Linked DNA regions of Oryzias latipes. The protein of the gene in region 1 purifies or fractionates together with the protein of each later gene. This does not show direct contact. Links are inferred from orthologs where the notes say so. Each region holds a gene or a part of one and is shown in the gene's direction. Other genes may lie near its edges.

Region 1 (5,239 bases):
CGTACATTTTCGCTTCTCGTCTCAAGACCGGACTCTCAGGACTTATTGCGGAAACACAATCTGGTTCTCTGAAGGGCCGTTCAATTCATAATAATATAAGACTGGTTATGGACATCATTGAATACCGACACCTTATAAAAGATAATGGTTTTATTCTCTTTCTGGATTTTTACAAGGCCTTTGATTCAGTGGAGCATCCGTTTATAATGACAGCACTGGAAAATTTGGGTTTTGGTACTAAATTTAGAAACCTAATCTATGGTCTATATCAGAATATCAATAGCTGTGTTATCCTTCCTAATGGCACCACCCCAAGTTTCAAAGTTGATGTAGGGATCCCTCAAGGTTGTCCCATCTCTCCGTATCTGTTCTTATTAGCCACTGAAATGTTGGCAATTTATATTAAGAATTGTAGTGAAATCAAAAAGTTAAATGTCTTGGGCACAGAGATCATTATTAGCCAGCTAGCAGACGCCACAACACTGTTTTTAAAAGATGAGCATCAAATTAAAGCAGCTATTGAAAAAGTAAAACACTTTTCCAAAGCATCAGGGTTAAACTTACATTTAAAGAAATGTGAACTGTTGGCTATTCATGACACACCTTTAAAAGAAATCAATCATATCCCCATTAAATCAGAAGTTAAATACTTGGGCATCTATATCAACAAAGACCAAAAAATAAGGCAATCAAGGAATGTGGGTGAAAAACTTAATGAATGTAAGACGAGGTTGAATATGTGGCTCCAAAGAGATATTTCGCTGTTGGGTCGGATCTATCTGACAAAGATGGAGGGTTTGTCTATATCAGTGTTTTTCAACTAGTGTGCCGTGGGAAATTGTCCTCATTAACTGATCTAAAAACATTTTCCATCTCCAGGATTTCAGCTCTCTGTTCATTCATACAGGCCCTGATAAAACACTGAGGAGTTAGGAATATAAAAGATCATAAAATACTTTTTCTTTGCGTTTATTTTATTTTATTAAACACATTTGATAAGAATGACTGTACAGTACCGCGATTCAGCTGCAGCTCCGGCTGTATTTTGGAAAAGTCCCGCCCCTTTGACTGTCTCCACCAATCATTCTTGGGGAGCTTAATCACATGTCATCAGTTTGACCAATCAGAAGTGGTTAAAGTCTTCACTTCCTTGTCCCGATTTAGCTCGTAAAGTCGCTCAGCTCTAACAAAAATACCAGCTAAAGCTCGTCTTTAGCGGTGTAACTTTCCACAGAATCCGGTATCAGACCGTGGAACAAGTGAACAAAACAATGAAGCTCAGAAAAGCGATCTCCACCGGCCGTTTAATGCACTACATCTCCCATGATGCATTGGGTTGTGAAGGTGACAGCGCACAAGGAGATCTGTTGTTAGTCTTGAAAACAACGAACACACTTCAAACTTTTTTTAAATCTTCTAACTTAACTTTTATTGCATCTTTTAGAAAAAAACAGCTGCAGTTTCCAGCTTTTTCTGTAACAATTATCTCAAAAATGCATGTGAGATTGTGGAGGGGCTGTAGATCAATACAGACTATGACTTTCTCTTTTTTTTTTAATTTTTGGATGCTGGTGTGCCGCAGGATTTTTTTTAAGGTTAAAGTGTGCCGTGGCTCAGAAAAGGTTGAAAAACACTGGTCTAGATGTATTATTCCATCTTACTCTAATGCCATCCCAAACAAAATGATCAAATCCATCAACCAAATGACTTTTAACTTTATTTGGAGAAACAAGCCTCATTACATGAAAAAAAACTATATGGTCACAGGAACAAACACATGCAGCCTGGTTTTTCATGTATGATTAAACGAACTACCCATAATAAGTCTAATGGGAGTGAATCTGTTTGACCCAAAATGGGGGCGTGGTCTTCTATTTGACAAGTAACTGTTAAATCTTTAGCTTTCAGGCACTTTTGTGGTGTAACCATCCATTTGTACGGTTTGATTCAAATCCTCATTTGTGGTTTAGCCAAAAATTCCTCCAGTGTGACTCGGATAAACAGCTGGTACTAAACAGTGCTGGTAAAGTTTTCCACTTTCCTTGTATTTCTTCCAGATCATCAAGTGTAAATTAAATAAGTGTGCAGACAAACAAGTAAAGAAAAATGAATGTCAAACCCATTCACATTTTAGTTTCCTAAAGTTCTGCTGTTTTTCCACATCCAAAGAATCCAAAAGGAACTTTATTAGAACATTTTAGCACACTGGATGGTCACATGACTTTGCTAAATTCATTGTGTTTTCACACATTAGACTGGAATGATGGACGGATCATTTTTTTGCTCATGTGTTTTCCGCTGTGATGCATTTGCTCGTTTTTACGTTATCGTAAAATAAACCTACTGAGCCTCAATCCAAATGATATTTCCCAACATCAATTATAATCGATTTATTTCGTTTAGAAAAGATTTTATAATGGTATAGGTGAATTCAATTACCAACATGCCTCAGACAGATCGATCTGGTTGAATCATCGGAATATAAATTAATTAACTGGCGAATCATTAGACCTCCACTAAAAAGTGATTAGATTGTATGACCGGCCTATTGCTTCACTTTCTCCACCATTCGGTTCAATGGAACAAATGTTTGGTTCTAAGCAGAGAATAGTGGCATCCCTACCATGTTCCCTTTTTTATGAAAAAGACAGCCTTCAGTGACATCATCTACTGCCAAGATGGGGAAAGTGAGAAAGGATAAAAGATCCTTGAAAGAAAAATTACAATCCATACCAGCACCAGATCTCATGCCACTGCTTTAAATTCAGGAAAAATAATAAGAATGTGGCTGTTTGCTGCGTTATTGGTGATATTTCCAGTAAAGGAATTTGTACTTTATGCGATCCAGGACTCACTCTAATAAAGATCCCCACTGGCTTTATGTATAAATGCTACTAATAAAGTGGTTCAAATGGGTTAATTTATGTTTACTCTACCTTCCTAGAAGGCTCAAATCGCTTTACACTCACATTCACACAGTGATGGTGGCTGATGGGAGCCAAATTGATTTTACCATTCTGTAATTCTGGCATTATTTTGGATATAGCTCAACCTTAACTGGAACATTTCTAGAAAAATCTTTTTCAAATAAGATCTCTGTGTGTAGCAAGTCTGCGGTCTGTCATGCTTTAACACCATCGTTCAGATTCTTCTGGTGGAGCTTTTTGACTGACATCCACCAACATGCCCATTTCCCCATTTCAAGTTAAATTATTAGTTTAAAAAAAACAATCAAACACTTGTATATTATGATAATTGTACTTTTTGTTTGGCTTCATCATTACTGCAGTGGCTGTGGCTTCAGTTGGTCCCAGTTTTTACTGAAGCTTAAAAGGAAACGACATTTTCCAAAATAAATTGCAGAAAAAGAAACTTCATGACATTTTATTCAAACATAAGTTTAAAAAAAATCTATATGATGTTTTTAAACAAAATTTTGAATCTACATTTTGCTACATTGCTTCTTCCTTTTTAGAATGATTCTTTTTTCAAAACACTTCCTTTCAAAATAAAAGCTTACTTAAAACAAGAAAATTTTCTCCTAAAAATGTTTAAAGTCCTTAGTCAGCAAAAACAAATTCCTGCAGCTGCATTTGTCTGTCATTTGGAAAGTCAGAGTAGACTTAGCTGTTCTCCTGAAGTTTTCTTGCTCATCAACAACTTCTTCTTCTCCGTGAACAGGAGGCGCTAGAGGAGGAGGTCAGAGGCTACGAGGAGCGAGTATCATCCATACAGCAGGTCCTGAACGACCTGAAGGTCCAGCTCTACGCCAAGTTTGGAGACAACATCAACCTGGAGGCAGATGAGAGCTGAGCTCCAGACGGACTCTGACGGCTGCACCGACACGAACGTTTCCTCCCATTTCTGCCTCGCCGCCATACATCAAGCCTTTAGAGTCGCAGTTTTTAGCCTCCCCCTCAGAGATCTCATGGTCATGCCGTCTGAAATGACAAAACAACCTGCATATATTTAAGGATTTTTTTTACTACAATTTCTGTTAAAAGTGAAATAAAGAACATCTGAAGTGTCTCTAGTTTAACTTTCACTCTCACAGAACAGAGCGTCACCTCACAATCTGTCATTTCAACCGTGGACCGGTACCAGGCATCAGAAAAACAACACAACGTTCATTTTTTTATAATTCGTTTCTGAAGGAAGCTTTATTTGTGAAAATTACGCAGACCATAAAAATGCATAATATTCAGCAAGCTGCTGTCTAATGTCAAGAGGATGCTGCTAATAAAGTTAGAAAACAACAGTTTTAGTGATTTTTTTTTTTTTTAATTTTAGATTTATCACCATACAAGTTAGACAAAGCTCAAGCGTGACAAACATCCACACATTTGTTACGTCTAAGCTGGATTAGTGTAATTCTGTTAGCAGTGTGTCCTAAAAATTCTTTATTAAATAGTTGTTTTTGATGTATAGAATTCGGGGAAAACAGTGCAAAGTAATGTGTTTCACGTTAAAACTTGTTTTATTAGGTCTGCATTCAGCCGACCACATTTCAATGAGTTCCTGTGTTTTATTGTCACGGTTACCTCCTTCCTACTCTGTTTATATCCCATAATGCACCACTATGGTGGCCGTTTTGGTTCAGTTGTCCCGCTCCAAGGACGGATTGTATTCAGGCGGAGGAATCTCAGAGTGAACAAAAGCTCAGTCTGGTTGATCACCTCCTCCAAAGATGGGTCAGAGAGCGGTTCCTGGTTCTGGATCAGGGTCCCCTTGGAGGTATTCAGACTGAAAATTTGTTCTGGATTATCGGAAACGAACTCTGGTTCACTAATGTGTCCAGTATGAATACATTTAAAGGGGCGGTTTACATCTGTCATCGGTTCATGAACTTGTTTAGAAGGCAGCATGAGATGTTTATGTTTGTAAATGTGTTGACCTCCTTCACCTGCACAGCTTCTTTTTAATCCAGGGATTATGTGCAGACTCGCCTGTTTGAGGCAATTTAACAGCAGCTTTCCAGAAAATGTTAACTGTTAAGTCTCCACACATTAAATTAGATTTTCCCGTATGAACACGTCCCACTAAAATTAATTTTCACTTTGCGGCTTGCATGAGTTAGAAAAAGATTTAGGAACATCACCAGAGGTTGGGGATCCCAATGAACAAGTTTGTGTCCCCGGTAGGTTTTCCTGCTTAGCAGTCACAGCTGTGAAGAGGAGTGGCTCCATCTACAGAGGCTTGTCTGTGAACAGCCGGCTGAACTTAAAACCCTTGTGCTATC
Region 2 (5,884 bases), on another chromosome or scaffold:
ATTTCAATTTGATTTTTAAACGTCACATTTCCTCCTCTCGTTCTTTAATTTCTAAGTTTTCTTCAGTTTATGGGAGACTTGTTTGTTGTTTCTGTTTTTTAGCCCCTTCATTTTGGGTAACCTGTGGGATGTGACTGATAGAGACATTGACCGCTTCACCAAAGCCCTGCTGGAGTCCTGGTTATCTGCGGGGTCGGGCGCATCTATCCTGGAGTTCATGGCTTCATCACGTCAGGCCACAAACCTGAAATACCTGATAGGGGCTGCACCTGTGGTCTACGGCCTTCCAGTTCACCTGCAGTAGGACTGAGGCTGCAAAGAGGAAGTGACATTATGGAGTCATTTCTTTTGAAGAAATGTTTGACTTTTACTAATGTATGACTTGTATTTAACTCAGCTTTTCTATTTTTAACTATTTTTAATATTGAAAATGATTCCAATAGGTTTGTACAAATGTTTTTAGCAAATGATTTGCTTTTTTGAATAAATGTCTTCATGCATATTTTGCTTGTTTTCCAGAGGTTATTAAGACTCCAAAAACTAGTATTAACACTGTGGGAGCAAACTTGATTCTCTGAAACTTTCTTTATAATTCACTTTGGGATTAATACAGCATAAGACTAGCTGATCTGGAGCAGGGAAGATTGGGTCTACTTGACCTTGTTGATCAGATTTAGGGAGAGATTAGTTTAATTTTCGAACTACATTTCGAGTTCCGGCTTTAAAAGTTGTTTGAAAACTGGTTGTTATTGTTTAACACCTGAGTGACGCAAAGGACCATCATGCTACCCAATTTGCCTTCATATGCACATCTGAGGTGACGACAAATAAAAACTTTAGTGTAAGAGCTTGAAAAAACAAAGTTTAAGGAAGACTTGCTGTAAACATTCTGAAATGGCTCTGCATCAATGTTGTCTACATTTGTAGATTTTTTCTCTACTTTGTGTTACTTGAATATTGACAAATCTAATTTTTAATCTGCCTATGAAAAAGGAAGCAGGACGTCCTGAAAAAGAGGGGAAAAGTCTTAATTTGGTTCTTTTGAGTTTTGGTAGAATTTGCCGTTTTTGTCTATGAATAAGAGTATAAACTACGCTTCAAACCTCAGGTAGCCTACCTTAAGATTTAATTCCTAAATCCAAACTTCAAAGCGGGTGATGGCATAAAGAAAGTAGTGTCAATTTTGTCTAGAAAATACTAGGTCATTAATCTGCATGTTTCAATATTGAATAAATATTAAGCAAAAATAGAAAGTTCAAATATTTGTCACAAACACACAGTATGACATGCAGCCAAATGCTTCGTGTAACTGATATGCAAACTAGAACAAGTATGGGCCCCTATACTTGACCCACAGACTGCATGGCAGTTGTTCAACCTGCAGATGTAATTGACTAAATTAAAAACCAGATTATTGTACGTTTCCATGGTCTCTTATCGTAATTTTAATCTTCTTTCTCTTTTGGCTTTTCCCATCAGGGGTCGCCACAGCGAATCATCCTTTTCCACCTCACTCTATCATGAACATCTTCTACCCTAACGTTAGCCAACTTCATGTCCTCTGTTAAGACATCCATGTATCTCCTCTTTGGCCGTCCTCTTGCCCTCCGGCCAGGCAGCTCCATCTCCAACATCCTTCTACCAATATATCCACTATCCCTCCTCTGAACATGTCCAAACCATCTCAGTCTGGCTTCTCTGACTTTGTCGCTAACACAGGCAACATGAGCCGTCCCTCTGATGTACTCGTTCCTTATCCTGTCTAACCTGGTCACTCCTAAGGAGAACCTCAACATCTTCATCTCCGCTACCTCCATCTCAGCCTCTTGTCTCTGTCTCACTGCTACCGTCTCTAACCCATAGAGCAGAGCTGGTCTCACCACTGTCTTGTACACCTTTCCTTTGAGTCTTGCTGGCACTCTTCTGTCACACAACACTCCTGACACTTTCCTCCAACTGCTCCAACCTGCCTGCACTCGCCTCTTCACCTCTTTTCCACACTCCCCATCACACTGAACTGTTGACCCCAAGTACTTAAACTCCTGCACCTTCTTCACCTCAGCCCTCTGTAACCTAACGCTTCTACCTTGATCCCTCTCATTCAGACACATGTATTCTGTCTTACTACGACTGACCTTCATGCTTATCGTAATTTTAATATTCTGCAGAAAAAAACCCATTCAATTTCAATCAAAGAAACTGTTATGCAGAGTCTGCGTTAGAAAATAGTCATATAAACTAGAGCTAGTCAACATATTTAAAAAGGAAGTTTTCTTCTTTCCTTTTATTTATTTATTTTTTGCATTTCATTTTAAATCATATTTACTTTGAAACAGCTTTCATGTTCTAATAAACCGGAAAATATGTCAACCGGAAGTACATCTCGCAACCGGAAGAAGAATCCGTCTTTTGTCACCACGCTTCCAACATGGCGGTGAATCTCACAGACCTCTCTCTGCCGCAGTTAGAAGGACTCAAAGGCCAGCTGGACCAGGTAAAATGCGTGAGTTTAGACTGAATATGTGACCGCTGCTTCTTCATGAAGGCGTCTACGCTAAAGGCGGGAATGAGAGCAGCGCAGCGGCCGCGGAGGGTCATGATGTTTCCCCGCAGGGGCGTGGAGTTTCAGGTGCTGCTCGGTTGTAAAGAAGGGTTTTTGAGTTGACAGAGAAAAAACCGACAATAGTTTATTTTACAATTTGTCCTTAGACTTTATAGGATTTAATTGATACATAGACAGGATGGGTAGCGACCTTCAAGAGTTAAGAGAAATGAGTCACAGTTTGAACTTGCCTGGCCTTATCATTATATTATTTACATTTTTTTGTTAAATTTTGAATCAGGCTTATTGTTGTCATTCAACCAATACACCCGCTATGAGTGACAAAGCAGCTGAGTTTTTACAATGCACACATCCGGGGGAAAAAACGTACCTAACGGTACAGAAGTGAACTGAACCGAACCTGCTGTACTGAAACGCTTCGGTTCAACTACGTTTATTCTTACACCCCTAGAACATATAATACCCTTATTGATAAGGCATTCTGGCGTTGGGAATTATTATAAATTCTAATGAATTCAAGAAATGCAACAGAATCTATCCTGGTGAAGTAGTCACAGGTGTGCAGTTTAGTGTAGTTTACCTCTATGTGGCAGATGTCAGTGCTAAACATCTACAAAATTAATCAAATAACAACATCACTCACTGAAGTAAATTGTTGTAGCATTTCAGGATATGACTATGTTAATGAAAAACTACCTAAATTATTGAACACAATCGTGCTGGAAAGAAAAATTGCACAAAAGCACGACTGAAACCGTTACCAAAAAGCCTGTGTGCGATCATTTCCAGCTGAGCGCCGTCCAGACCGCGCTTGGTGGCCGAAAGAAACTGCCAGCTCAACATTTCTGCAAACTGTGGCCACGGGGCAGCAGGAGTGTTGGCATAACTTGGTCATTTCCAGGATCTGCTTTTGCAACCTCAGTTTCTCAGCTTTACTATCAGTTTTGTTTCACAATGCAACAAAACATCACACTTATGCGTCAATAAAAAACTGGAAACATTCGTTTTCTAAAACTAGTGAATGGTGGTGTATCTGAGTACATAGATGGAACTCCTCTGGGGTGTTTCTTTTAATTTTTTTTAATTGCTTTTTTGAAATTCATGCTGTGTTTTTTTTCCCAGGAAGTTGAATTCTTGACTTCTTCAATTGGCCAGTTCAAAGTTGTGCAGACCAAGTATGTTGAAGCAAAAGACAGTTTAAATGTACTGACCGAAAACAACAAAGGTATGTAAAATGTCCCTTACTGGTAATTTGTTTGATCATTAATGTTTTAAAAAATGTTTTATAGTTTTACTTCTAACTTTGCTTAGGATGGCACCTCTTTTAACCGTCACACCACGTGCGCATAGATCAGTGTTTTCACACCTTTTTTGAGCCACGGCACACTTTAACCTTGACAAAAATCCTGTGGCACACCAGCATCCAAAAATAAAAATAAAACTCCTAGTCTGTTTTGATCTACAGCCCCTCTGCAATCTCACATGCATTGTTGTGATCATTGTGGCAGAAAAAGCTGGAAGCTGCAGCTGGTTTTCTAAAAGATGTAATAAAAGTTAAGTTAGAAGATTTAAAAACTGTTTGGTGTGTGTTCGTTGTGGTTTCAAGACGTCAAAGGAAGACTCATTGTACACTGATACGCTGCCACTTTAACCCAATGCATCATGGGAGATGTAGTGTCAACAGCCGGCAAACGCCAGACAGACTGGCGTCTTGGAGCTTCATGGTTTTGTTCCCTTGTTCCACGGTCTGACACCGGATTCTGTGGAAAGCTACACCGCTAAAGACGAGCTTTAGCTGGTATTTTTGTTGGAACTGAGAGACTTTATGAGCAGAAATGGAACAAGGAAGTGAAGACTTTAACCACTTCTGATTGGTCAGACTGATGACGTATGATTAAGACTCCAAGAATGATTGGCGGAGACAGTTAAAGGGGCGGGACTTTTCAGAAAACAGTTAATACTGCAGCTAAATCACGGTACCGTCATTCTTATTTAAAAGTCTTTAATATAATCAAATAAACACAAAGAAAAAAGTATTTTACGACACCTTTTGCTTTGATTCCTGCTTTGCACACTCTTGGCATTCTCTTGATGAGCTTCAAGGTGACAGTGATGTTACGGAGCGAAATAACAAGAATAAACAAATACGTATCGTACACACATCCTAAATCCTAAGCTCCAAGTCGTGTTTTAAGCCCTTGACGTCAAATGTCAAGTCAGTGCATGTGAGGCTGAAGTGTCACTCAAGTCCCAGGTCCAAGTCTCCGACTGTCCTTCAGTCTTGGAGGCTACAGAATGTCTAATATATACAGATGGTTGAATTTAACAACTTTCCCTCTTTCTTCCATACAGGAAAAGAATTACTCGTCCCCCTCACCAGTTCTGTATCCTTTATCCATCTAACTATTTTTAGTCTTTTGTAGTCATTTACAAAGTCTATAGTTGTCATGAAAAGGTTTATTTATATAATAAGTTCCACAAATTAGATAAACTCCAACAAACCGTTTTCATTTGCTGTGCATCTGTAAACAGCTTGTTTCTATTGACCTTAAGCAGAGCTGCTGAACAGATGTACGTCCCCGGCACATTAAACGACGTGGAGCACGTGTTGGTGGATGTGGGAACGGGATATTATGTGGAAAAGGTAAAAGTGGAAGCACTTTGAAACTTGAACTTCATAAACAGTCAGTAGACTGTAAATCTTACTGTTTCTGTTCCCAGAATGTGAAAGATTCAAAAGAATTCTTCAAGCGCAAAATAGACTTCCTCACCAAGCAGATAGAGAAAATTCAGCCAACTCTCCAGGAAAAACACGGCATGAAACAAGGTAGGCCATTCTCACGCATGATATAGGGCTGGGAATTATTCTTATTTTTGTTGTATATCATCTTATTACTTTATGGAAGACAAAAATAACATTTAATGAGGCGCTAATGTGACTGAAGTGATAGTTTTATAGTCGGGACAAACTATAGTTATTTCATTATCCTCAGATTTAATGAAGCATCTGTTGCAGCAAAGAAAGTTTTTTCTTTTTAAATATATTTTTGTCCCTTTGGCATCCGGGTTTAATATGTTGGTTTTCCCTCTTGCAGCTGTGATTGAAGTGATGAACATGAAGCTGCAGCAGCTGCAGAGTCAGCAAGGATCACAGGCGGTTGGGACCAGCAAGGCTTAATGAGAGCAACACTTTCTGCATTTTTAACTCCACCCACAAAAACTCTACCGATACTGTTGTGTTGCTTTGGTCAGTCGGATCATTAAAGTGCTCACTATAACTTAAACAAACGTTTGACTTTGTTTTTTTAGAACGTACCGATA
Region 3 (5,869 bases), on another chromosome or scaffold:
AATGGGCTGCAAACTTGTGTTTGGTCATTTTTTTGGGCTTTTATCAACTATTAATGTATTAAAGTCCTACTCCTATCATCCTCTATTCCTCTATATCTCTTGTAAAGGTATTTCCAGTGTTGTTTTTTAATTAAGTTATTATTATAAACAAAAGAAAAAACAGTCGTTTAATTGAACATAGTTTCTGTAGAGCGGCCATTGACTGTAAATCAAAACCCATCAGAGCGAGAGACACCCCCTGAAAATATGGGGTCTGTCAATGAGAAACATATGCATAAATACAAAACTGTGCACAATTAATACTTTGTGCACAACTTAAAATAAAAAAATATGAATACAGCATTTCGTTTTTTGTTTGACATGCCTGTTTTGAATACGATTTGTCTATGTTTTGAATACCACTCTTGCTTGTCTTGAATAGACAGTTGTCCTGTTAACAAACTGTTATTAGTGCGTCACGGGGTCACAGACAAAAAAAAAACAACATAAAAACAAAACAAAAAAAAAGCAGATTATAACAGCGATGTCCTGCCGCATTTTTTGTTCTAGCAACAGTGAAGTGGGGCGGGAGTTCCCCACTTTGTCAGCTAGTTTATTCCCGCACTCTGTACCCCGCTTTCGCCCATCAGTAGACGGGACGGGCTCTGGCAGCACCCTCGACCCCGAAAGGTTTGAGAAAATGGATGGAAAAATAACAAACTCAACAAAGCTAACCCAGAGCTATAGTAGGCTAACTGGTGGGCAAACATAGCAATCGTTAAAAAGAAATAAAAAAAATATATTAAAAAAAACAAAGAAAAGTTTGGTATATGTATCCTACTGATTGTTTGTTTGTTTAATTTGATCTTTTTCGTTACTGCAGCCAGTTAATTGCTTAATTTCCCCGTTGTGGGGACAATAACATTCTAAAAAGTTCTATTTTATTCCTGTTAAATAAAAAAACTTCAAGACGCATGCGCAAATTTGAACAATCTGTGTTTTGGAACTCCATGTATATGATTGTGAGCTCTTGATGTGTTTTTACAGTTTGCCATCAGAGTAAAAAGCCCATTGCTAAAAAATAAAATTGGCACATTGCTACTGCCAGACCTTTGCGCTCAAATCGCGCCGCAGGACCCCAGATCGTGTCTCTGCCATTGACTCAACCATTGCCATTGTAAAGGCCCGTACACACCGGGACGAATATTCACCAGGCATTATTCGCCAGCGTTTTTCGCCACGTTTTTTTTGTTCACACCCAGGCGATTTTCGCTGACGATGAGCCAAGCGAACATGCAATTTCATTCCCTGACTTTAGATGGCGCTTAATGTAAAACAGAAATACCCCTGTACACAAGGTGGCGCTGCGCAACTTTACGCTTCTTAAAGTCGCTTTTCACTCAGAAGAAGAGAGCAAGTATTTACGCGCTTGTCAGAATCAAACAAAGAAAACATGAATATTTCCAGCACCAGTAGCTCCAGTTCCAGCAATGAAGAAATTATTGTTCTGTTGAATGATGTGTTGCACCGAGTAAAGACTGATAACTGCCGTAAAGCAAGTCAAAGTTTTATTAACACAGGATCATTATTTGCAGTACAATACCTTTATACCGATGACACCACAGCAAACGATGAAAGACGCTGGAAAAGACGCAGATTTTGGGTACATCCCATAGTTACGAGAAGAGAAGAACATGGGGAGTTTTATCGACTGGTACGAGAGCTAAAAATGTATCATGAGCGTTTTCGGGGATATTTTAGAATGTCCGTCATTATTTCTTTGCGGCAGTGTAGATTCCACTTGGCGTCTTATCTTCTTCGCTGGTATGTGTGCTCAGAAAGGCAGTTTTGTGTTTGAGCGCCCCCAAGTTGTGTTTTACTGTAACTTCAGAAGCTCCAGACACGTGTCCAAAAGCCCCATTCTCATTAGTCGTATAGTTTTTGCCGCGTGGCGCCAAACCAAAAAAACGAACCCGAGGCATTTTTTATAAAGTGACGCTTTGAAGCGTGGCGTTTTTTCACGTCGGTGTGCACACTCACATTGGTGCCCTTTGTTTAGTCATGAGGCGTTAAACATCGGCGAATATCGCGCGCGAAATTCGTCCCGGTGTGTACGGGCCTTAACTGGCCACCTCTGCCACGAATCTCGTTCAGTGTGAACGCACCTTAAATGTAACCATAACACTAAACTTAACCTTTCCTCTGGGTCCGGGTGTTCAAGAATTAAGTTTTGCACTGGCCACAAGTATTTGGAAAATGACGTGTGAATAGTGCTATGCAAGTGTATTCAACAATTTTTACAATTTCTGGGACTGTCTATCGGTCTTCACTCAGGCAAGACGCAGCTTGCAGATAGGGGGAATCGAGGGCGGAGCTAATCAGCACCAATAGCCACGCCCATGTAGAGGAGTTCTTGGAAACACGCTTCAGATAAACATGACATTTTAAAGACATTTGGCTTGTGGAATTTTAGTTAAAAAAAACGTCGTAATTGTAACTAAAACACCACTGGGAACGTTTTTATTTTTTTTAAAAAAAAGGTCACGGGGAGTTTAAATAGATCATCGTTACTGGGAGGGGCTGTGGGCAAACTTGATGCTGCCACAAAATAAGCCCGAAGAAGACAATCTTGCGCATGCGCACTCGAAATCTACTCTAAAGATGGCGGCGCCCGTGGACCTGGAACTAAAAAAGGTGTGTAGTTTACAGGACGCCGAACACATCATATGTCTGACGCACGTGGTTGCGCATACTCTCCGATATTGGGTTACAGGCAGCTACCGCTGGTAGTTATTAGTGTGACCCATACCGCATTCAGTGGTGCACGCGGAAGGTTCACGAAATTCGGCTGACCGGTCACTTCACTAGTAACAAACATGTGAACCGGACCATTGTGTACCTGCACCGAATCTTTGAACCCCTTAGAGCAAAATGAGTTTTGAGGTTGCCCCCCCCCCCCCATCTCTTTGAAACGGCCGAGCATCCTTTCTGATCGGGTGGACCATATTCCAATCCCACAATCCTTTGCGGTATTAACACTGAGACAAAAGATGATGGGGTTTGAGGAAACCAGATTATGACAAACATGCTTGTAAATGTTAAAGTCCAGTTTTCCATCTTTCAGTGTCGTGGATTATTTTAGGTCAGATGTCGTTTTTTTTTTTTACCTCCTTTATGCAAACATTTAAATGGTCCAGGTTTATATCTTCATAGACTACCTTCATGTAGCAGATCGCTTTGCTTGTTAACTGATTTACAGGAGAGGCAGTGTTTCATTTTTCTGTTTGACTTCCTGAATCAAGCCAGAGAAAAGGAAGAGATGGGAGAAATAGTGAAACTCTGATTCTCTCCTGGTTTCCTTTTCGACTTTGAACAGAGCGATACTTCCTGTCTCTGCAGGCATTCGCCGAGCTACAGCTGAAGATGATTGACACACAGCAGAAGGTGAAGCTGGCCGACCTCCAGATTGATCAGCTGACTCGAGTTCAGAAACATGCCAAGCTCACAAGCACAGAGATCTCCTCGCTGCCGGAAAACACGCGCCTGTACGAGGGCGTCGGCCGAATGTAAGTGTGCTCTCCTGTAATCAATGCCAACTCACCAAAGAACACAGATGAGTTAGACACATCTGAAAAACATGAAACCAGTCTGGTTTTTCCATCAAATGTCTGGTTCTGCTTTGGAAATCTCAGTGTCACACGGTTCTACTGCAGTTGTGAAACCATGTGCCTCTTATTTTGAAAACTTTACATTTATTTTAAGGAGATCTCCACCAGATTCACATAAATTTCTTTTTGGAGAGGTTTTGATTGGCCTCATTGATGCTACTGAGGCTCCATGAGAGTTCCAGACAGAGGAATTCTGTCTGACCTGATTGACTTTATGAACTTCACATCCAGTCAACACTTTTATACACAAGTTTGAAGAGGATGTGCGTTTAGCAACTGATCTGCACAAACACTGAGCTACATAAGGGTTAATGGCCAACAAAGTGTGCTTTATCAGCATTAATGCACTTTATGCGTTAATGCTGATAGCACTCTTGCCTCGGAGCAAGAAGGCCACTGGTTCAAGTCCCGGCTGGGGGACCTGAAACAGAACATCAATGGGGGACCTTTCTGCATTGAGTTTGCATGTTCTCCTCGTGCATGCATGGGTTTTCTCCGGGGTCTCCAGCTTCCTCCCACCGTCCAAAAAGATGCTCCATAGGTTAATTGGCAACTCTAAATTGTCCATAGGTGTGAATGTGAGTGTGAATGGGTGTGTGACTGTGACCCTGCGGCAGACTGGCGACCTGTCCAGGGTGTCCTCTGCCTTCACCCATAAGTGGCCGGGATAGGCTCCGGCAGCCCCGTGACTCCGAAAGGGAACAAACGGAAGAAAATGAATGAATGAATGCACTTTGTGGAAGCAACCGTCCTCCGCAGTTGCTTCCATAAAGTGCATTAATTTCTGATTGTGCCCACTTTGACAGCCGTTAATCCGCTGCTACCATGATTACTTACAAAAGAAATAAATATATAACCAGTTTTTAGGCCTTTCATTCTAACATTTTTATGGTTCCAATCTCTTTTTTTTCTCTTCACAAAAAGTCGACTATTTGTTACGTGTCACGGTAACATAACGCGCTGCTTAGCCCCACTGACCTCGACTGCTGCGGCAAAGGAAAGCAATATATATGCTGATCGTCACCACGGGTTAAATAAAGCATCAGTTCAGAGAGAAAGTTTACCTCTTTTAGTCCAGATGATGAGGCTGAAGTTTGTTTTAAAGAAGCCAGTGCAGTGATACAGAACAGTTAAGCTATGTGCCCGGAACTTCTTTTTTAGGCGTACATTATCACCGTGGATTATCACTTTAATGCACACCCAGCAGCCAATCAGAATCGAGTATTCACCCGGACCATGGTATAAAGAAACGTTAATGTCTGAATGCTGCCTTTAGGTTCATCTGCCCTGCCGATCCTATAGATGACAGAAAACTGTTGTTTCAGGTTCATTCTTCAGTCCAGGGAGAAGATCAACAACCTGCTGACAGACAAACAGAAAACCGTGGACGAGAAGATCAAGGAGCTTGAGGTGCGAGTGCCTGCTCCATCACAGCTCGCAGTGCATGTTTGCGGGTTTCTGACTGTTGCTGCCCGTTTGTGGTCTCTTGCAGCAGAAGAAGGTGTACTTGGAGCGCAGCGTGAAGGAGGCTGAAGACAACATCAGAGAGATGCTGCTGTCCAGAAGAGCTCCGTAATCCGTTTTTTTTCTGTGCCACGTGATCCCAATAAAGCCCCTCCCACCCCTCTGTGTTGGTGTGAAGTGTCTCCTAAAGGTCTGTGAGGACCATGTAGGTTTGAAGGAGAGATGAGGGTCAACCAAACTGCAGTGGGGGTCAGTGACTGGGACACAACAGCAGAAGGAACCTCCACGGGCCTTCAGACTGGATGTTCTGTGGTTTTTGTCACAGACACAGTACAGTTCTGTAGAAAGATGTCAGAACACACAGGGAAATGCTGCTACACCTACCGGGGAACACCACCAAAACTCTCTTCAGACTGACAGTCCAGTAAGTGCCCGCTCCCGGCACACAAAATCAAAAAGATGTGGAAATCATTAAATCAACCAGCTAAACAGGCCGTTAGACACGCCCACAATTTGTAACTGTTTGGCAGGGATGGCCAGTTCCTGGCCTTAAGGGTTTATGTCCTACATGTTTTCAAACCAACCTGATTCTCATTGGCTAATTGATCCAGGTAATCAGCAGCCGATACGGCAGGATTTCTGGGGAAACGGCAGGCCTGGAGTTGGACTTCCTGTTCTACATCATAACAAGACAGATGAAGATGATTTTAGAATTGCACAACGCGTTTAGTAAAAACAAAGGATAATAAACAACACAA
Region 4 (5,785 bases), on another chromosome or scaffold:
GTTACAACCTTCAGTTAAAACTACTCTAAATGTAACCTTACTCAAAATTTTACTTGCTTGCACTACACAATTTGTCCTCATTTTTACAATGTTTACATTTGATTATAGAAGGTTTAAATTGACCTTGCCACTTTGATGTATCCAGCTATTGTGTCTCCTGCCAAACTTTCTGAGAGCGATAAAGTTTCTTCTCGACTTGAACCAATGTAGTCAAATCCCTCAGGCAGGAAGGCCATGGAGGCTCCTTTCTCCTTAGCTTCCTCCACCAGCTTTTTACAGATGGAGAAGTTGGCCTCTTTGTTGGGGGTAGCTGTCAACTGACATATCGCAGCCAGAGGAGGAGGTGATGTGGACATCCTGCACAGATTGTTGCACGTCATTGATTATATTGTGGAGAACAGGAGCACAAATTAGAAAAAATAAAAAAAACATCCTTAGGCCTTTCCTTACTATGTTCGTCTACACTTTTGTTTGTTTGTATTTGCAAACAACAGTTGCTGTGAATAGGTCATGTCAACATAAACACAGAATAATATTTATAAAAAAAGAAGTCATTTCTACTTTTATTATATGTATTTATAAACTGTGAAACAAAGCAAACACAGATATAGCATAACACGTTTCATTGTCCCAGTAACAAGCATACCTACTTTAGCTGCGTGGTTTTGTGTCTCAGTCTTGCTAAAGACGCCAAATGCTTGGCACACGATCCCAAAACCCAACTGAACATTGATCCCGGGAACCGTCAACTTCCCTGTTTAACCCATTTTAGTTATTGGTTATCTATGTTTAGCTCGTGTTAGTGTAACATTAACATTTGCTCTCATTCTCAGCGGCAGAAGGTTGACAAAACACTCTTCTTCTCTGCAGTTAACGTGTAGCTAGAAACAAGTGTTTGGCACACTGCTTCCACCTACTGGACATATCTGTGCACTGCTTCCTTACACGAAGGAAGAATCGATTTAGAATAAATAAATGACACGATTCATTAAAAAATAATCTATTTACGATATGAAGTATTGTAAGAAGTAAAGAGAAAAATCACAAGTGTTTGAAATACAACAATATATAGAGATATTTAAAAAAAGTTTTTGGTATTTCATTTTATTTTTAAATGAAAGACTTTTTTTAAAAATACATACAGAAAAGGTTGGTTAATATTATACCAGAAGCTGTTTGCTATCACACTGTGGCAACAATCACATAGGGTCAAATTGTTATGCAGCGAAGTGATATACATTTGGTCTCTACAGGAAAAAGTTGAACATTTTAGCTGAAAATGAAAAAATAAATAAATAAAACAGTTAGACTACCCAAAGCTTTTGAAATGATCATTTCTAATTAGCAGAAACTTTTTAAAATTAGAAATGCCTTTCTTTCTTTAAATTTTATGTCATTGTAGCATGTCAGGCTGATTATTCTGTTAAAAGAAGTTAAACTGTTTTATCCTTTGATTTGTTCGAGGGAAAATGTTTACATGTTACACTTGTGTACTCTACTTGGATTTTATGGTAAAACATGTGCAAAATAATAATAATAATAATGCATTTTAGTTTCTAATTGGCCAATGCACAATCTAGTGAAACCCCGTGGTAGAAATCAATTGTTAGCTGATCAAATAAGCCTTTACTTACTTACTTACTTACTTACTAACTTACCCACTTACTTACTTACTTACTTACTTATTTACTTATTTACTTATTTACTTATTTACTTATTTACTTATTTACTTACTTACTTACTTACTTACTTACTTACTTACTTACTTACTTACTTACTTACTTACTTACTTACTTACTTACTTACTTACAGTTGTGGGGGGCAGATAGAAATTTAACTTGTTTCCCATTTTAAAAAAAAGGATCAATTTGATCTTAGTGCTGTGTCCGAATTTCCAACCTAATCACCAACTACTAAAAACGATATAGTGTCGTGGGTTTTAAAAGCAATTAGGACACCATCCTCACTATTTTTTTTCTTTTTTTAAAACGGGAAATATAACGTTACCGATTTCACGAAGTGAAAATCTGATCAATACATACTCCGTCGTAAATACAAGCAATTTACAACAACTATTTATTAATTCATTGCGTACTTGAAATAAAAAAAATATTGATTGTTTAAAAAAAAGCATTTCAACACATTGTTTTCGCAAAAAATGTTCAAAACGCAATGCATTGTCATTGATCTATGTTGGCCAATTTAATGAGCGTCGATGCACACTGGTTAATTTGCAGAGACTTCCGAGAAATTTCTTAGGAACTGGATTTTGAAATTGTAGATTCGGACAGCATTACAAAATTGCGAACGCACTGTATAGTGCACTGTGTAGTGAGTGGTAAAGGAATTTAGAGATGTATTTTTACACAGGCAGTCATGAGACTGCCTCTGCCTGTGAAAAAAAACTTTCACATGGGTCGGGTCCTTCAAGTGCACTCTATCAAGATGGCAGCCAACAGCAGCACGTTCAGCAAATCGAGCAGCAGCGCGGCTGGAAAACAGCCCGCGCAGTCAGCCGAACAGGTATCCTATTGAGTAGCGGAGTCTTTTGTCTCGGTACTCCTGAGATTGTGACATATTATTCGTATATATTCAGCAGAAAGTAACTAAACCGACGTACAGCCAGTCAGCGCTAACGTTAGCTTCCCCGTGGCCACAGAAGTGTCTTGCAGTCAGACCCATGCGAGGGGAAAGAAATTGTGAGCATGAAATTAGGTCCAATTTGTGCTATTTGCACATCATGGAATGGGATAACGTCAAAGATAAACTAAAGGTACACCATTCTGTATGTGGGTGGTGTGGCCCTCAGAATGGGTCTGACAGAGCATGATGATGCTATTTTTACTACTCAGACAGTCAACAACTATGCACAGCTCAAGGGCTACGGAAGCCTTTCATATAAGAAAAAAACTGTTTCAACACGTTGCCAAATTATTAGTATAAAGCGACGTCTTAGTGATAGACAATAACATGTAGACACACTATAGGAACAAATTAGCATAAAAATGGCAAATGTTGAAATGTATTAATCTTTATTCGATGTTTGTTGAAAAATAACATTAAAAATACATATGAACTTCAAAAAATTTTGGGGTCAAAATTAAATATTTTCATACAGGTTCAAAGAATACTGTGAATTAAGTCATATTAGGAAGTCATATTCTAAGTTATAAATTGCTCTTGATTGAAAAAAGAAAGTAAAGCTAAAAAAAATGGTACATACATTATATATAAAAAAAGTAAAACAATTTGAAATCATTAACATGGAGAAGGTTATGCATTTGGTCTGCTTAAATTGAACCAGAGTTCACTTTAAGGTCTGGGACCTTGACCCATCTTTGCAGGTGGTCTTGGTTAATTTCCAATCAGATTGAGCTCGGGTTCGCTCTAAGATTCCTCAATCTGAATACCACTGAACCTAAATGGCCACCATAGCTGACATAAACAGAGTAGGAATGTGGCTACAGATGAGCCGCGGACAAATAAGCAATTATTATCGTGTTATCAAACAGAAAAAAAGAGTTCAAGTGTTTATTTGTTAGAACGTTTATTTTAACATTGCTGAAAAGGCTACTTGCATGCTTTTCTGTATCTTGTTACGCGGCATTCGCCTGTGGCATGACTAAAAGCTATATTATAGTTTCCTTAACAGAATTCTCTAAAAACAATGCCCTAAAACCACAATGATGAGACACAGCAACTCATTGAAATGTGGTCAGATGAATGCAGGCTAATTAAAATCATTTTTAATGGGAAACACATTGTATCTCACTGCAGGCTGAAATGACACAATTCTGATTGTTTTTTGCCCCTATGCGACCTGTATCTGATCTTTTCATGACAGTCTGAACGACACAGATCCGATCTTTTCAAATGCGACCCAGGCCACTTGCGTATGTGGTCCTGAATCCGATATGTATCCGATCATTTCAAATGCGACCTCCGTCTGAACGTCCAGGCCACATGAATCCGACCCGTACGTCATTGATACGCTGCAAACATCATCATTTTTCGTTGAAGTAGGCGGGAACAAGAACATAAACATCAACCAATGGCGGACGATGCTGCTGAGACCAGTCAGTGGAAGGGAAGCGAAGTCACCGATTTGATTAATATTTGTGGTGACGGCTCTATTCAGGCCAAACTCCAGGGCTCTTTATCGCAACCATGCGGTTGCCCCTCAGAGAGGAGAGAGCGTGGCAGCCTACTCATACCCGACGTCTCGTCATCAATGCAGTTACTAGCATGCTCTGAGTTAAAGCACACACAGCACGTCTCCTTGCCACTGACCGCTTCGCAGCATGCCTTTGCCGTACCAAAGTAACAAATAAAAAGGCTTGTTCCCGACGTTCAAAACTGATAATCGAAAAAAATATAAAATTTTAATAATTTAACTGTTAAGCGGCACACGTCCACATTTCTCTTGTTTTGATCTGCCCTCGTAGTTCCTGGCCAATGACTGAAGAGATCTTTAGTCACATTGTTTTGTTTATAAGCTTTGGTCGCTAACAGAATGGGGCGCTTAACGCCAGTCTGATAAAGGCCTAACGCAAGGTTCGGAACTCGGTCCGGAACAAATTAAGCGGACTGGATCAAAAGGGACTGGGTAAAAAAAAAAACTCTCTAAAGTCACAATTTCCTTTTAAGGTTTGGTAAGTTTATTCAGCCTGAAAGCCCCTCAGTCTGAAACAGCTTACATGCTTGTGTTGGGATCAGACGGATGCGTCAAATGTCATTGGTCTGCATTGATGCCAGCTTTGCGGTGATGTTTTCAGGTGGTTGCCACCTTTCAGAGGATGCGTCAGGAACAACGCAGCATGGCGTCTAAAGCTGCAGAGCTGGAGATGGACATCAATGAGCACAGGTTAGCAGCTGATGACTTCTCCTCTGAGAGCTTTTATAATACTCACTTTTTATGTTTGATTGTTAGCAGGACAGCTAATTGGATCATGTTGGTCTGTAGTTAAATTGACCTTTTTACTTTATATACATTAAACTTAAAAAAGAAAAACATCTTGTAACTCACCTCGTCACATAACTGGTAAGTGGTAAAAGAGTAATAATTTTAATGTTTTTTTCTTTTTGTGTTCAGTTTAGTTATTGAAACTCTTAAGGAAGTGGACCCTTCTAGGAAATGCTATCGCCTGGTTGGAGGGGTTTTGGTAGAGAGGACGGTGAAAGAAGTTCTACCTGCTTTGGAAAACAACAAAGAACAGGTGAAAATAAACAAATAAAAGCTCTTTAACATTTATCACAGGAAGCTGTTTTTCAGGCTAATGGACATTAAAGTCTTACTCTGATCATCATTTGATTTATTTTAAAAACGTTCCCAGTGGCCTTATAAATATGACTATGCCGTTTTAGCCCAAATCGAGAAACGTGTCTTTTTCTAGGAAATTGTTTTTTGTAGCGCGGCTGGAGTTTGTTAGAAATTCACCTCTAAATTGTGGGGAGGACCAATAGGGCAGAGCAAACACCCCCCCCCCCCCCCCCCCCCCCCCATCCAGTCACCCATAACAGAGCTATCTGTTAACATTCTCTCCCGCTAGCTTACAGCCCCTCACAACCTCAACCTAACATGACACCACAAATGGTGAGCAATATTGGAGCCATTCAGCTACCCAGTTTTGAGCCAGGTGACCGCTCAGATGAGGAAAACAAAGATGTACATGGATCTATTTGTCTACAAGTTGATGTATAAGAATGGAGCAGAGCAGAGTGTTTGTGGCTCACCCAGTGTATTTTCTACGTCACAAATATGCTCTTTTTCAAATTGAATTTCTTT

The links.
Region 2: the proteins of pfdn4 (region 1) and pfdn5 purify together in Homo sapiens (affinity purification with mass spectrometry; 5 studies listed by BioGRID and IntAct, counting the BioPlex papers as one, with this or other methods). This does not show direct contact. The link is inferred for Oryzias latipes from reciprocal best matches to the Homo sapiens genes PFDN4 and PFDN5.
Region 3: the proteins of pfdn4 (region 1) and pfdn1 purify together in Homo sapiens (affinity purification with mass spectrometry; 5 studies listed by BioGRID and IntAct, counting the BioPlex papers as one, with this or other methods). This does not show direct contact. The link is inferred for Oryzias latipes from reciprocal best matches to the Homo sapiens genes PFDN4 and PFDN1.
Region 4: the proteins of pfdn4 (region 1) and pfdn2 purify together in Homo sapiens (affinity purification with mass spectrometry; 6 studies listed by BioGRID and IntAct, counting the BioPlex papers as one, with this or other methods). This does not show direct contact. The link is inferred for Oryzias latipes from reciprocal best matches to the Homo sapiens genes PFDN4 and PFDN2.

What each region holds. Positions count from the first base shown.
Region 1 is NC_019865.2:24,673,092-24,678,330, reverse strand, and holds the end of pfdn4 (prefoldin subunit 4), read left to right. Parts: intron 1-3,681; coding exon 3,682-3,813; 3' UTR 3,814-4,033; downstream 4,034-5,239. UniProt on the Homo sapiens protein: Binds specifically to cytosolic chaperonin (c-CPN) and transfers target proteins to it. Binds to nascent polypeptide chain and promotes folding in an environment in which there are many competing pathways for nonnative proteins.
Region 2 is NC_019863.2:4,451,193-4,457,076, forward strand, and holds the start of pfdn5 (prefoldin subunit 5), read left to right. Parts: upstream 1-2,494; 5' UTR 2,495-2,539; coding exon 2,540-2,629; intron 2,630-3,685; coding exon 3,686-3,788; intron 3,789-4,915; coding exon 4,916-4,947; intron 4,948-5,132; coding exon 5,133-5,207; intron 5,208-5,284; coding exon 5,285-5,390; intron 5,391-5,658; coding exon 5,659-5,741; 3' UTR 5,742-5,884. Other genes in the region: espl1 (separin), read left to right, coding at 103-304. UniProt on the Homo sapiens protein: Binds specifically to cytosolic chaperonin (c-CPN) and transfers target proteins to it. Binds to nascent polypeptide chain and promotes folding in an environment in which there are many competing pathways for nonnative proteins.
Region 3 is NC_019872.2:23,088,844-23,094,712, forward strand, and holds pfdn1 (prefoldin subunit 1), read left to right. Parts: upstream 1-2,508; 5' UTR 2,509-2,574; coding exon 2,575-2,673; intron 2,674-3,378; coding exon 3,379-3,545; intron 3,546-4,972; coding exon 4,973-5,057; intron 5,058-5,139; coding exon 5,140-5,223; 3' UTR 5,224-5,276; downstream 5,277-5,869. UniProt on the Homo sapiens protein: Binds specifically to cytosolic chaperonin (c-CPN) and transfers target proteins to it. Binds to nascent polypeptide chain and promotes folding in an environment in which there are many competing pathways for nonnative proteins.
Region 4 is NC_019876.2:18,972,691-18,978,475, forward strand, and holds the start of pfdn2 (prefoldin subunit 2), read left to right. Parts: upstream 1-2,401; 5' UTR 2,402-2,412; coding exon 2,413-2,523; intron 2,524-4,775; coding exon 4,776-4,864; intron 4,865-5,092; coding exon 5,093-5,216; intron 5,217-5,785. Other genes in the region: nit1 (deaminated glutathione amidase), read right to left, coding at 124-360, 651-730. UniProt on the Homo sapiens protein: Binds specifically to cytosolic chaperonin (c-CPN) and transfers target proteins to it. Binds to nascent polypeptide chain and promotes folding in an environment in which there are many competing pathways for nonnative proteins.